Oryctolagus cuniculus: one gene and its partners. The protein of the gene in region 2 interacts with the protein of the main gene of each other region in a pairwise test. Links are inferred from orthologs where the notes say so. Each region holds a gene or a part of one and is shown on either strand. Other genes may lie near its edges.

Region 1 (3,356 bases), on a different chromosome or scaffold from region 2:
TACAGAGATAACAGCTAAGTTAAAAACGAGCTCACTGGGGTGGGCCTGTACCTAATGATTTGTGTCCTTATATTGGTAATTTGGGGAAAAATCCTTTATTAATAAACTCTTCAAACCACCCATTCTGAGTCTTTTTTTTTTTTGGAGGGGGCTGGGACTTGAATTGATAGGATTTTATGTGATTCTTATTTCCATATTTGTTCTTAATGTATTTTCTAAAATTTTTACAATAGTTATGGTTACTTTTCTAGTTGATCTGAAAAAGTCATGAAAAATATGTGGTTTGACTAGGAAATTCTCATGTTTAGATGAACCTACAAGTACAGCTATCCAATACCATGGAACATCTCCATGGATTCCCTATGCTAGGATTAAAGAGAAGGAACTTGACATCTGTTGGGGAATCAGGGAAGTCTTGGTCAACGATCTAGGAGTCACAGATCTGTGATACCACCAAGATCTTTCCTGAGCAAGGTGAGTCTGTCAGCTTTGGTGACATTAAAGGCACAGCACATATTTCTTGCTTTGAAACTTAGAAACAATTTTTATTTGAGATCTGAAATACAATTCCTAAAATATCAACTTCTCCAGAAAACCGTGGCTACACAATAATGCATTGCCTCTATCATGTTAGAACGTGCATTAGACTCAAATACAAAAACCATGAAACAAATCACCATCCTTCAACAATTTGAGCAAAGATAGGATGCCTAAGGAACAACATAGATGGATTTGCAGAGGATGGGCGGTTTTTACTTCAAGCACCATAAAAAAAAAAAAAGAGCACAAATGCATGGGTTTTCGGGTATATACATTAAGTTGAACCTTTGGCACTAGGAATCAGGGCATTTTTTTTTTTATCACATAGCATTAACACAGATTAGAAAATTGTGTAGTGTCAAAGGGATGGAACCACCAGCGTTCAAGCAATGTTGTCAACTATGCAATAAAATGTTCTACTGAATTTTTCTTCTTTTTCTAATTACTGCATACACTGGTAGCAACTCTGAAATGAGAAAAGGAGTTTGCACTCCTTTTATTTTCTGTTTAATATAGAACAGAAAACAAATTGAAACATAAGCCCTGTTATACATTAACAATTTTAAAGAACATCAATTATACAAGAAAAAGACTAAGAACAAAAAAAAAGTGTTTTACAGATACCAGACATTAATGGTGAGTGGTCAGTAGACCCTCACAGGGCTTTGCGGTGGTACTCAGCAGAAGCCACTTTATAATCACTGGCAGTAAACAGAGAAGCAGAATTCTTTGCCAGATATTTTAGGAAATCATGCAAATAGCCCAACAATAGAGCAAGGCTCTTTTCATCAAGGGGCGTATAAGCCAACATTGCTCCAATTCTCACAAATAATCTCAGTAGGTGTGGTGCTCCATAAACCTGGGACATCGGCGCATCAGGGTGAGCCAACAGGATTTCAGCATACTGGGGCCTCTCAAACTTATAGAGCAGCTGAGTGCCCAACATCACATTGAAATACTCTTTTATACCTCCCACAACTTCATTGACGGCATATTCTTTGTTGTCGATGTTTCCCTGTGACTTCTTGCAATTGGCATACTCTTCCAGAATAGCATCTACATTCTTCTTGGCAGGGAGTTGAAAGAGCTGTTTCTGCCTGGTTACTAAGTCCCAGTCCTCAACAAGCCATGGTTTTAATTCTTCAGGGATCTTGACCTTCACTTCCATCCTATTCTTGAATGCATCCTCACTTTCGACAGTGGGATCGGCCCGGGCCCTCTTCTTCCGAGGGGGCTGGGGTGCTTCGCTGGTACTGCCGCCATCTCCATTCCCAGGAGTCTTCTGCTTGTTCTTCCTTGTCTTCCTCACAGATCCTGAAGGGGGGTTCTCAGCCGAGCGACCCCCCCATCTTCCTGGGAGAGCTTGTTCAACATTCTTCGGCTGTTGGCCAGCTGTCTTCTTTCCTGAGGAGGCGCCTCTCATCTTACTTCTCTGCATGTTGCCTCTAGTTGGCTTTTTGAAGTTGTCTTCTTCCGCAGATTGTTGTCCACGAGTTTGAGAACCCTGCTTTCTGGAACTCATTCAACCCTGTTTTTATTCCAACCACTGTAATACATAAAGTATTTTACATGTTTGTTTTCTACAGTGATCTTTAACTATGGTTCATAAAGGCCCATTAGGCCACAACATATGCTAACTCCTACTACCCACTACTGTCATCCCACCCAGGCATTCCTCAGACTGCTCTAGTTTTTTTTTATGTCACTAAAAGTATAGGTGTGCAATTTTAAAGAAGGAACTAAAATGACAAAGAAATGATAAAAGGCAGTGGAGTTGAAATGCAAGACTTTGGAACAGAAGAACAGAAGGAATGACAATGTAAAAGAAATCAGGAACATCAATTTAGCCAAAGAGAGGCAAAATGAACAACAGTAAAACAAGCAACTGGAAAGGTTCTTGTCTTGGTCCAGGTAGGTCGGAAATAGGGCAATGACAGTAAAGAGAAACTGAGCAACACGCTGAAGGAGACCAGGAGTCAAAGGGGCTCTGAAATGTCAAATGTGGGGAGCTAATGAGTTAACAAAAGTAGACTTAAGTGTTACTTTGGAATCAGCAATAAAAATGAAAGAATGGAGGTAAACCATCCATCTATTTGGTTTGTCATCTTCTATTGCTGTATTTTTGCTTCCAAATAGGCACTATGGTAGGTGTTAGGGATTCAAACATCTAAAGTGACAATTATAAAACAAGGTTAGTACATGATGGTTTATAGGCACAGAATACTTTGGTAGCAGACAAGACATGGCATGTAACAAAATCTCCAGTTATCACTAGTTGGGAGGGGGAGCGTAGAAAGTTGGTGAGGGAGGAGTCAGTGAGGACTCCCAGGTTTTGAGAAGTGATTAGGTCATTAGTATTATCACAAAATAATACTGCATCTGCAGGAGAAGAAATTGTTGTTCAGTATCAGCCTTCTTGCATGTGCGGTGTGCATTTCAACATAGCATTTTAAAGCTTAGGTGAGAGAAGTCAGAACTAGAAGTGAAATCTGAGAGTAATCATCATATAGCTGGCAATGGACACTATGAGGGAGACCAGAATAAAATCTGGGAAACCTGAGGAAGCGATATATAAGGGGTGAGCAGAGAGAAAGGCCAAATGAAACAAATGGCCAGAGCAGTCATAGGAAAATTAGGAGACTTAATTTGGAAGCCCAAGTTGAGAATTTCAAGAAGTGACAGGAATAATCGACAGTAAGGGAGGGCTAGAAAGGATGCAAAAATAATCCTATGGTATGAGAGGTCAAACAATTCTTTTCACTTACACAATCTTCCTTCTTTCCTTTCCAAGAATGCCTAGTGAGTTCCCAGATTTT
Region 2 (4,073 bases):
TCAGGCACTCAGCGCCCTCCGCCGGCAGTCAGCTTTCCCCTTACATTTCAGCAGAGCCAAGAAGTTCTCGGCTGCGCCCCGTGTGCAGGACGCGGGATAAGAAGCCCAAAACAAGGCCCAAAACAAGGCCCCGGGAGGCCGCAGGTAAGGACTCAAGTAACTGGGTCCTGCACCCACGTGGGAGACCCACACTGAATCCCCTGCTCCTGGTCTCAGGTGGCCCTGGCCCAGCCCCAGCTACTGTGGGAATTTGAGTGAACCAGGGGATGGGTGCCCTCGCTCTCTGTCTCTCAAAAATAAAAAAATAAAAGAAAATAAGATAGAACATACTGAACTGACATAAAGACATACACTTTAAAATTTCTGAAATCAGGACGCACTTGCCGAATAGCAGTGTTAATAGTTGTCACTGCCTGGCTGGCGCCGCGGCTCACTAGGCTAATCCTCCACCTGCGGCGCCGGCACCCCGGGTTCTAGTCCCGGTTGAGGTGCCGGATTCTGTCCCGGTTGCCCCTCTTCCAGGCCAGCTCTCTGCTGTGGCCTGGGAGTGCAGTGGAGGATGGCCCAAGTGCTTGGGCCCTGCACCTGCATGGGAGACCAGGAGAAGCGCTGGCCGCAGCGGCCACTTGGGAGGTGAACCAACAGAAGGAAGACCTTTCTCTCTGTCTCTCTCTCTCACTGTCTAACTCTGCCTGTCAAAAAAAAGAGTTGTCACCGCCTGACAAGGAAAAGGCACTCCTGTGAGAGTTGCGAATGTTTTCAGTGGCACAAAGGAAGAAGCTGTGTGGAAGAACCACGACACACTCGGAACTGAAAGCGCTCCGAAGAGGAGCACCGGAATGTGGGAAAGCTTCAGGAACACTTCAGCCATTTACTTTTTACCCCTTTCACATGTGAGTTGATTTGCAATATGCATTGATTTTTAAATGCCCATGTACACCTAAAAGTGTTTTCGATAAGAATGGAAGTCCAAACGACAAGAAAGCATTATGCCCCAGCTTAACTGGCGGTGTCCCTCCTGGTGACACGGAACTCTACACAGCACTGACACTCACAGCAAGAGCGCCTGACCAGCTATCCTGGGGCAAGCGACAGCCAGAAAGACTCCAAACAGAGACAAAGCAGCTGCCCCTCCGACCCTGTGCGCCGTACCAGGAGGGCTGTCTGTCTAACCTTGTCTTCATGTGAAAGTAAAATCGTTCTCGGATTTCCTGCTTAGGAAGCAGATTCCTCCCTGGTCCCACGGCAGGTGGAGTGGGAGAGCCGGGGCAGGAATCTGCTGTGTAAGTAGGAAACTCGAGCACAATTTAACCAAATTAACTCAACCACACTCCTCTCCCGAGGCCCTCGGCTGTACCCCCGGCTGTGGAGAACACCGAGAGAGAGAGAGAGAGAGAGAGAGAGAGAGAGAGAGAGAGAGAGAGAGAGAGAGAGAGAGAGACGCTCCCCCGACAGCTACGGGACAGGTTCCCTTCAAGTCCCACTTGAGCACCACACGCGGCTTCACCCTCCCGAAACGTCCAATTCCGGGGCGCCTCCGCCACCGCCACCCACTTCCAGAACTTTGCCATCACCACAAAAACCCTGTCCGCACTCAGCGCAGGCTCCTCCCCAGAGGCTCCGGGACCCTCCAGGCACTCCACGCCGGGGTCTCCACCCGCGCCGGCCCGCGCGCGTCCGGCTGGCATCTCATCCCCTGTGCGGCGGCGAAGGGCCCCTCATCGCGGGGGGTCTCGAGCACCCCGACACCCGCAGCTCCGCCGGGGAGCCCCCCAGGAGAAGACTCCGCCTGGAGACGGGCCTGGGTCAGCGGGCAAGAGCCGTGCAGCCCTGAAAACGCACAGGCCAGAAGAGGCAAGGGTCCCCCGGGCTGCTCCGGCCCCGGCGACACCTGTCAGATCTCAGACCAGCCGGCGGCCGAGTCACCGAGAGTGTCACCCGCGCGGGGCGCCCCACGGGGTCATGAGTCACCTTCTGTGGCTCAGAGGTCCGGGCAGGCCCGCCCCGCCCTGCCCAGACAGTCCCGGCTGGGAGGGACAGACACAGAATCGGCCGAGAGATAGAAGCGGACAGCTACAAAAGTCCTGCCGGATCAGAGACACAGAGGCAAAGGGGAGGCCACAAGTAAACTCGGGGTCTCGGGCAGAAAGAGCAAACTGACGGAAGCCGCGGCGCGACGCAGGTGACAACAGGTGACACAGACAGCCACCGAGGTGCGGCACCGAGGGGAGGAGGACACCGGCCGAGACCAGCCGAGACCGGCCGCAGCCTGCTTCCCGGTCTCGGCTCTGCGGGCCCGGGGCGCGCCGGTGGCGCCAAGCCGCGCCCACCCCGCGCCCCGAAAAGCCGGCGGACGGACGGGGGCGGGATCTCCAAGCGCTCCGGCCCGCCGAGCCCCGCTGCCGCGGGGTGACCTTGGACCGGAGGCTGCCCCGGGGCCCCAGGTGTCGCGGTCTGTGCGCCAGAAGGGCTGGAGACCGCGGGGGTCGGACCGGAGCGTGGGGATCCCGAACGCCCGCCAGCGGCTTTAGCATCCCGCTCGACCGAACGGGCCCGGGGGCACCCGCAACGCGCGCGCCCCGGCCTGCGAGGAGCCCTCAGCCCCCTCCCCGGCTTTCCTTCCCCGCATCCTCGCGCCCAGTTGTCCCGACGCCGCCGTACCTGCCAAGGGCTCCGCGCTCACATCCCAGACCCAAAGGAGCTCCCGCCGCCGCCGGCGCCAGGCCTGTTCAAGCGGTCGCAGCCGCAACAGCCTCAGCCTGCGCCTCCCGCCCCCGGAAACGCTTCCCGGTCCCGCCCCCGAAACTGCCAGTACTTCCGGGAGTGCGGCCGCGAGAGAACTCTAATGCGCATGCGGGACGCACGTTCATGGGCGGGGCGTAGGAGAGAGGGCTCCGAGACAGCCGGCGCCTGCGCAGTGGTGTCGGGAGCCGGTCCGTCAAGTTTGAGGTTCGCTGACAGGCATTGGAGAGCCGATAGTTGACCTGGCAGAGACGATGTCAAAATCCGTGTCTGCTTCAGCAACGCCCATCCCGCTGTTTGACACATAGTGGACGCTTAGAAGGGGTCCGTGACAGCCAGTGCCCTCTGGGTGGCCGCATTGGCTGGGCGCCAGGGTCAGAGATGGGGGCACCAGAGAACCTGCACTGCCTCCGGCTCTCCCGTCCGCCGCGACCCTGCCCCCCTCTCTTCCTGCCTTTCCTTCCGCGACCTTCGGAGCTGCTTGGAGACCAGGGAGCTCACTTGAACGCGCACCAACCCGAAATCCAGGCAGCTGCAGGGGTCCGGCCAGAGGGGCCCTGGGCGTAGGGTGGATGCCCCTCCCCGGCCAGGCTCGCCCGGGAGGACCGTGTGTGTCTTAGCGCCGAGTGCGGGGTTTCCCACCTGGTCCGCTTGCTTCTTGAGTGTTCCAAGAGGAGACTGGGACTATCCCGGAGAGTTCTATCAGGAACTTCGGGGAGACGAAGCCGCAGAAGTGGGGGTGGGCACAGAACCGCTGCCGAAGATTCTGCTCGCAGGGTCTACGCTCCATCCTTCCCCTCAGCCCAGCTGGAGCACACACCACTTCCTCCAACAAAGCCCCACAGACAGGGCGTGCTAGTGTCTTTCCTCCCTCTTGGACTCCCTAAAAACAAAAACAAACAAAACCACTCCACTCGTTTCTGTTCAGATCCCAGCAGCGGTCCCTTGATCTCAGGGGAGCTGGACTTGGCAAGTCTCAGAACTGACCCAAGACGTCTGATCTAACCTCACTCTTCGAAATTGGGCTTGTGACCAACATCTTGCCAATAAACGTAGAAGTCATTGAGTGGGAATGCTGGGAAAAAAGTTTTTGCAAAATCCACTAAGACTTCTAGTTGGGAATACTCCTAAAGGGCTTTGCCACTTTGTCTTCTTTCTGCCTCTAAGCGGGTCTGAAGTGTGGACGTTCAGCTGCTGTCCTGTGGCTAGGAAGTGACCGGCAAAACAAGCAGACGGAGAGAGCCTGGCGGCCGGGACGTTAGGCCGCAGGCTCCATCTTTGGACTGCTTACCCCCAGGGATTTTCTTGAGTACAACAAATCAACTTCCTGT
Region 3 (3,518 bases), on a different chromosome or scaffold from region 2:
GGGTGAGGAAGGGTGGCCCATCTCCCAAGGGAGTGCATGGTTCAGAGAAGGGAACAGAGTGCCGTCTGCGAGGAGAGAACCCTGGGAAGCAGATATCAGAGAAGCAGGGAGAGTGATTGCGATAGCAATGGCCAACATTTGCTGAGCTTAATATAGACCTGGCGCCGCTCCAGCTGCTTGTGCACCAAGTGTGTGCAGAGGACACGTGGGGTCAGCAAGAGGGAGAGGGTGCTCCACGTGGGGCAGAGGGAGCCAGGTCCGCCCTGACCACACACGCGCTCTTTGCCCCTCCTGTCGCCGCCAGGCACACGTCTTTCAAGCGCCACCTGCCGCGGCAGATGCACGTCTCCAGCGTGGACTACGGCAGTGAGCTGCCGCCGGCGGCCGAGCAGCCCACCAGCATCGGCCGCATCAAGCCCGAGCTCTACAAGCAGAAGTCGGTGGACGGGGACGAGGCCAAGTCCGGGGCAGCCAAGAGCTGCGGGAAGATCAACTTCAGCCTCCGCTACGACTACGAGAGTGAGACCCTGATCGTGCGCATCCTGAAGGCCTTTGACCTCCCTGCCAAGGACTTCTGCGGAAGCTCTGACCCTTACGTCAAGATCTACCTCCTGCCTGACCGCAAATGCAAGCTGCAGACCCGGGTGCACCGCAAGACCCTGAACCCCACCTTCGACGAGAACTTCCACTTCCCCGTGCCCTACGAGGAGCTGGCCGACCGCAAGCTGCATCTCAGCGTCTTTGACTTTGACCGCTTCTCCCGCCACGACATGATCGGGGAGGTCATCCTGGACAACCTCTTTGAAGCCTCCGACCTGTCCCGGGAGACCTCCATCTGGAGGGACATCCAGTACGCCACGAGTGTGAGTACAGCGCTGCTCAATGGGCTGCTCTAGGATGAGCAGCTCTGGGCCGGGCGGGACACGTCCCCTACCCCCCTCACCGCCTCCAGACACAGGGTGTGAAACTGTCCATGGCCCGCCCACCCTGGGGCGGTCCTTGCTCTCTCCCCAGGTTGGGGTGGGAGCCAGTAGCACCCTCGGAGGCAGGGGAAGGGAAGGAATTTTTGTCTGTTGCTTCTCATCGCACCTTCCAGGGTGGGTCTCTCTACCTGCGGGACCCAAGGTTTGGCAACTCTAAAACATGTGCTATGTCCCCTATGATCATGGGTGACTGCTGGGCCAGGCCACAGACTGAGTGTCTGCTGAGTGTATTGGTATGTATTAGAAGCTTGGGATAAGCAGCAAGAGTGGGCTGTGTTAATCAGACTGTACTTCAGCAAGAAGCAATCTCAGGATTTTGTGGCTTCAGATAACCAAGGTCTGTTTCTCATTCACGTCACACGTTCTTTGCAGCGTAGCTGGGGGCTCAGCTTGACCTTGTTGCCCAGGGACCCGAGCCCACGGAGGCTCCAGCTCAGCTTGAGCTCCCGTAGTTAAACCTCAGGAGGAAGACGATGTGCAAATCATGCAGTATTTCTCAAAGCTTCCATGCACAAGTTCCATGTGTCACTTCCACTCACATTCCATTAGCCAGAGCAAAACACACGGCAACTCCTACTCTCAGAGAGGCAGAGGCAAAACACTCCTACCACACGCCCAGAAGGCAGAACTGCAGAACTGAATGAACGCACTAAGGACCACACACCGCTGAGTCCCTTGTCTTAGCACCGTATTCCCAGTGCTGTCTGGGTGTTGGGGGGGGGGGGGCGGGGGCGGGGGCGGGGCAGGCAGCCTGCAAGGAGACCTGGCTAATGCCCACACCAGAGGCAGATACTGGGCCATTCGCAGCCAGCTGGAGCTAACCGAGGCTTCAAGGTGCTGAGATTCACGTTGACTCACAAGGGAGGGCAGCTTTGGCACAGAGAACTAGAGGGGCACACCCGGAGCCCCCTGGGCTGGTGTGGACAGGGTACTCCATTCCACTGGCCTGAGGAGCTGTGTGGTGCATCCTGCAGGTGCAGCTGCTGTACCTCTCTCTGACCCGGGCGCTGAGAGCCCAGCAAGGGTGTTCCCACCAAGCACGTGGCCTCTCATCTGGTGTCCTGAGTGCTAACTGGCTGAGTGTCTCCCTGGATATTTTTATTTTAAGATTTATTTGAAAGTCAAGCAGCAGGAGGGGCTGAGGGTGGGGAGGGGTGGAGATCTGTCCACTGGTTCACTCTCCAAATGGCTGCAACAGTCAGGGCTGGTGAGCCAGGCTGGATCCAGGAGCCTGGAACTCCATTGGGGTCTCCCATATGAGTAACAGGGCCCCAAACACTTGGGCCATCTTCTGCTGCCTTCCCAGGCACATTAGCAGGGAGCTGGATCAGAAGTAGAGCAGCCAGTGCGGAAACAGCTCTCCAGTATGTGATGCTGGCATTGCAAGCGGCTTCACCCAGTGCACCACAACGCCAGCCCCTCTTTGCATATTTCTTGCACCATTATCTCTGAGGAGGGAGGATCCCAATCTGCCTGAGGCTCCTCCCTTCGGGCAGCTGATACTCAGTACGTCTGTGCAGAATGTCAGGAGAGAGGTTGGGAAACCCAGCCGCGCCGTGGTGGGTAGAGCGTACGCGCCTCGATTTCTTCAAGGAGAAACCTCGGCGGGCTCTGCTTCCAGGCAGTGTCTCCAGGACCCCATTCTCTGATGCTGACTTTGGCAAGTCCAGGCTGATGTCCCAGGGCCTCCTCACCTTTGCTTTCCTGAGATGCCACCCCCCGCCGCCCAGAACGGCGCAGGCAGCCAGGTGGCAGCCAGACGGGGCGGGCTGGAGCGGCAGCTGTGCACCAGCCCAGGCCCAGGAGCTGTGCCTATAAATCACGATCTGAAGCGCGCATCTGGTGCGGCTCTTCCCTGTGGTCTCCTAAGGCAGCAGCTTCATGGCGGGGACTGTGCAGGTGGAGAGAGGCAGCTCCATCCTCCTTACAGCGAGGCCACCGCCCCCGGGAGAGGATGAGGACGCAGGGCTGTGGGGGCAGAGCTCTGCCCGCCCCAGAGGCCCCCTCCCTCCCCTGTACCTTCGGCCCCAGCAGGAGTGCGAGCCTCAGGTGTGCAGGAACCTCTCCCCCAGATGGAGCTGCCCTGATCCTAGGGCTCTGTAGCTGTCCCTGACCTCGTCCCCAGACTGTCCCCATGTTCACTTCCTCAGGCAGTGCCACCAGAGTCCGCCTCCACCTCCTGCTCTTAAGGACGCCATGCCGGGCACTGGGGGTGAGGGCGGGACTGGGCTGGCAGAGAGGGGGACCATCCAGCAGGCCAGCGATGCCGGCCAAGTGCTCCTGCACACTGTGTGCACCAACACTGCCTGGGAAGGCCTGGACCAGGGCAGCTAACCCAGGTAGGGCAGGACTGGAACCGGGAACTTCCCAGGCCAAGAGGGAGGGAACCCCCCCCCCAATAGGAGCCCAGAAGCCCAGGCCTGGTGGTTCCCAGCTGCAGGGCTGGGGTGGCACCCGCACCCCTTGTCTTGCGTGCAGCCTGTCTGAGCTCTGTGTGCGGCCTCAGGTGAGTGCCCTGGGCCCTCCAGCCCAATA

What was found. The genes of interacting proteins can lie anywhere in the genome.
Region 1: the proteins of ZBTB43 (region 2) and MORF4L2 interact in binary tests that used the Homo sapiens proteins (3 or more experiments, as listed by UniProt). The two-hybrid records come from large-scale screens. The link is inferred for Oryctolagus cuniculus from reciprocal best matches to the Homo sapiens genes ZBTB43 and MORF4L2.
Region 3: the proteins of ZBTB43 (region 2) and SYT6 interact in binary tests that used the Homo sapiens proteins (3 or more experiments, as listed by UniProt). The two-hybrid records come from large-scale screens. The link is inferred for Oryctolagus cuniculus from reciprocal best matches to the Homo sapiens genes ZBTB43 and SYT6.

The regions. Positions count from the first base shown.
Region 1 is NC_091453.1:89,784,661-89,788,016, reverse strand, and holds the end of MORF4L2 (mortality factor 4-like protein 2), read right to left. Parts: 5' UTR 3,306-3,356; intron 2,087-3,305; 5' UTR 2,063-2,086; coding exon 1,196-2,062; 3' UTR 517-1,195; downstream 1-516. UniProt on the Homo sapiens protein: Component of the NuA4 histone acetyltransferase complex which is involved in transcriptional activation of select genes principally by acetylation of nucleosomal histone H4 and H2A.
Region 2 is NC_091432.1:230,445,582-230,449,654, reverse strand, and holds the start of ZBTB43 (zinc finger and BTB domain-containing protein 43), read right to left. Parts: upstream 2,802-4,073; 5' UTR 2,662-2,801; intron 1,923-2,661; exon of another isoform or gene 1,595-1,922; intron 693-1,594; exon of another isoform or gene 381-692; intron 223-380; exon of another isoform or gene 1-222. UniProt on the Homo sapiens protein: May be involved in transcriptional regulation.
Region 3 is NC_091438.1:56,227,851-56,231,368, forward strand, and holds part of SYT6 (synaptotagmin-6), read left to right. Parts: intron 1-304; coding exon 305-863; intron 864-3,518.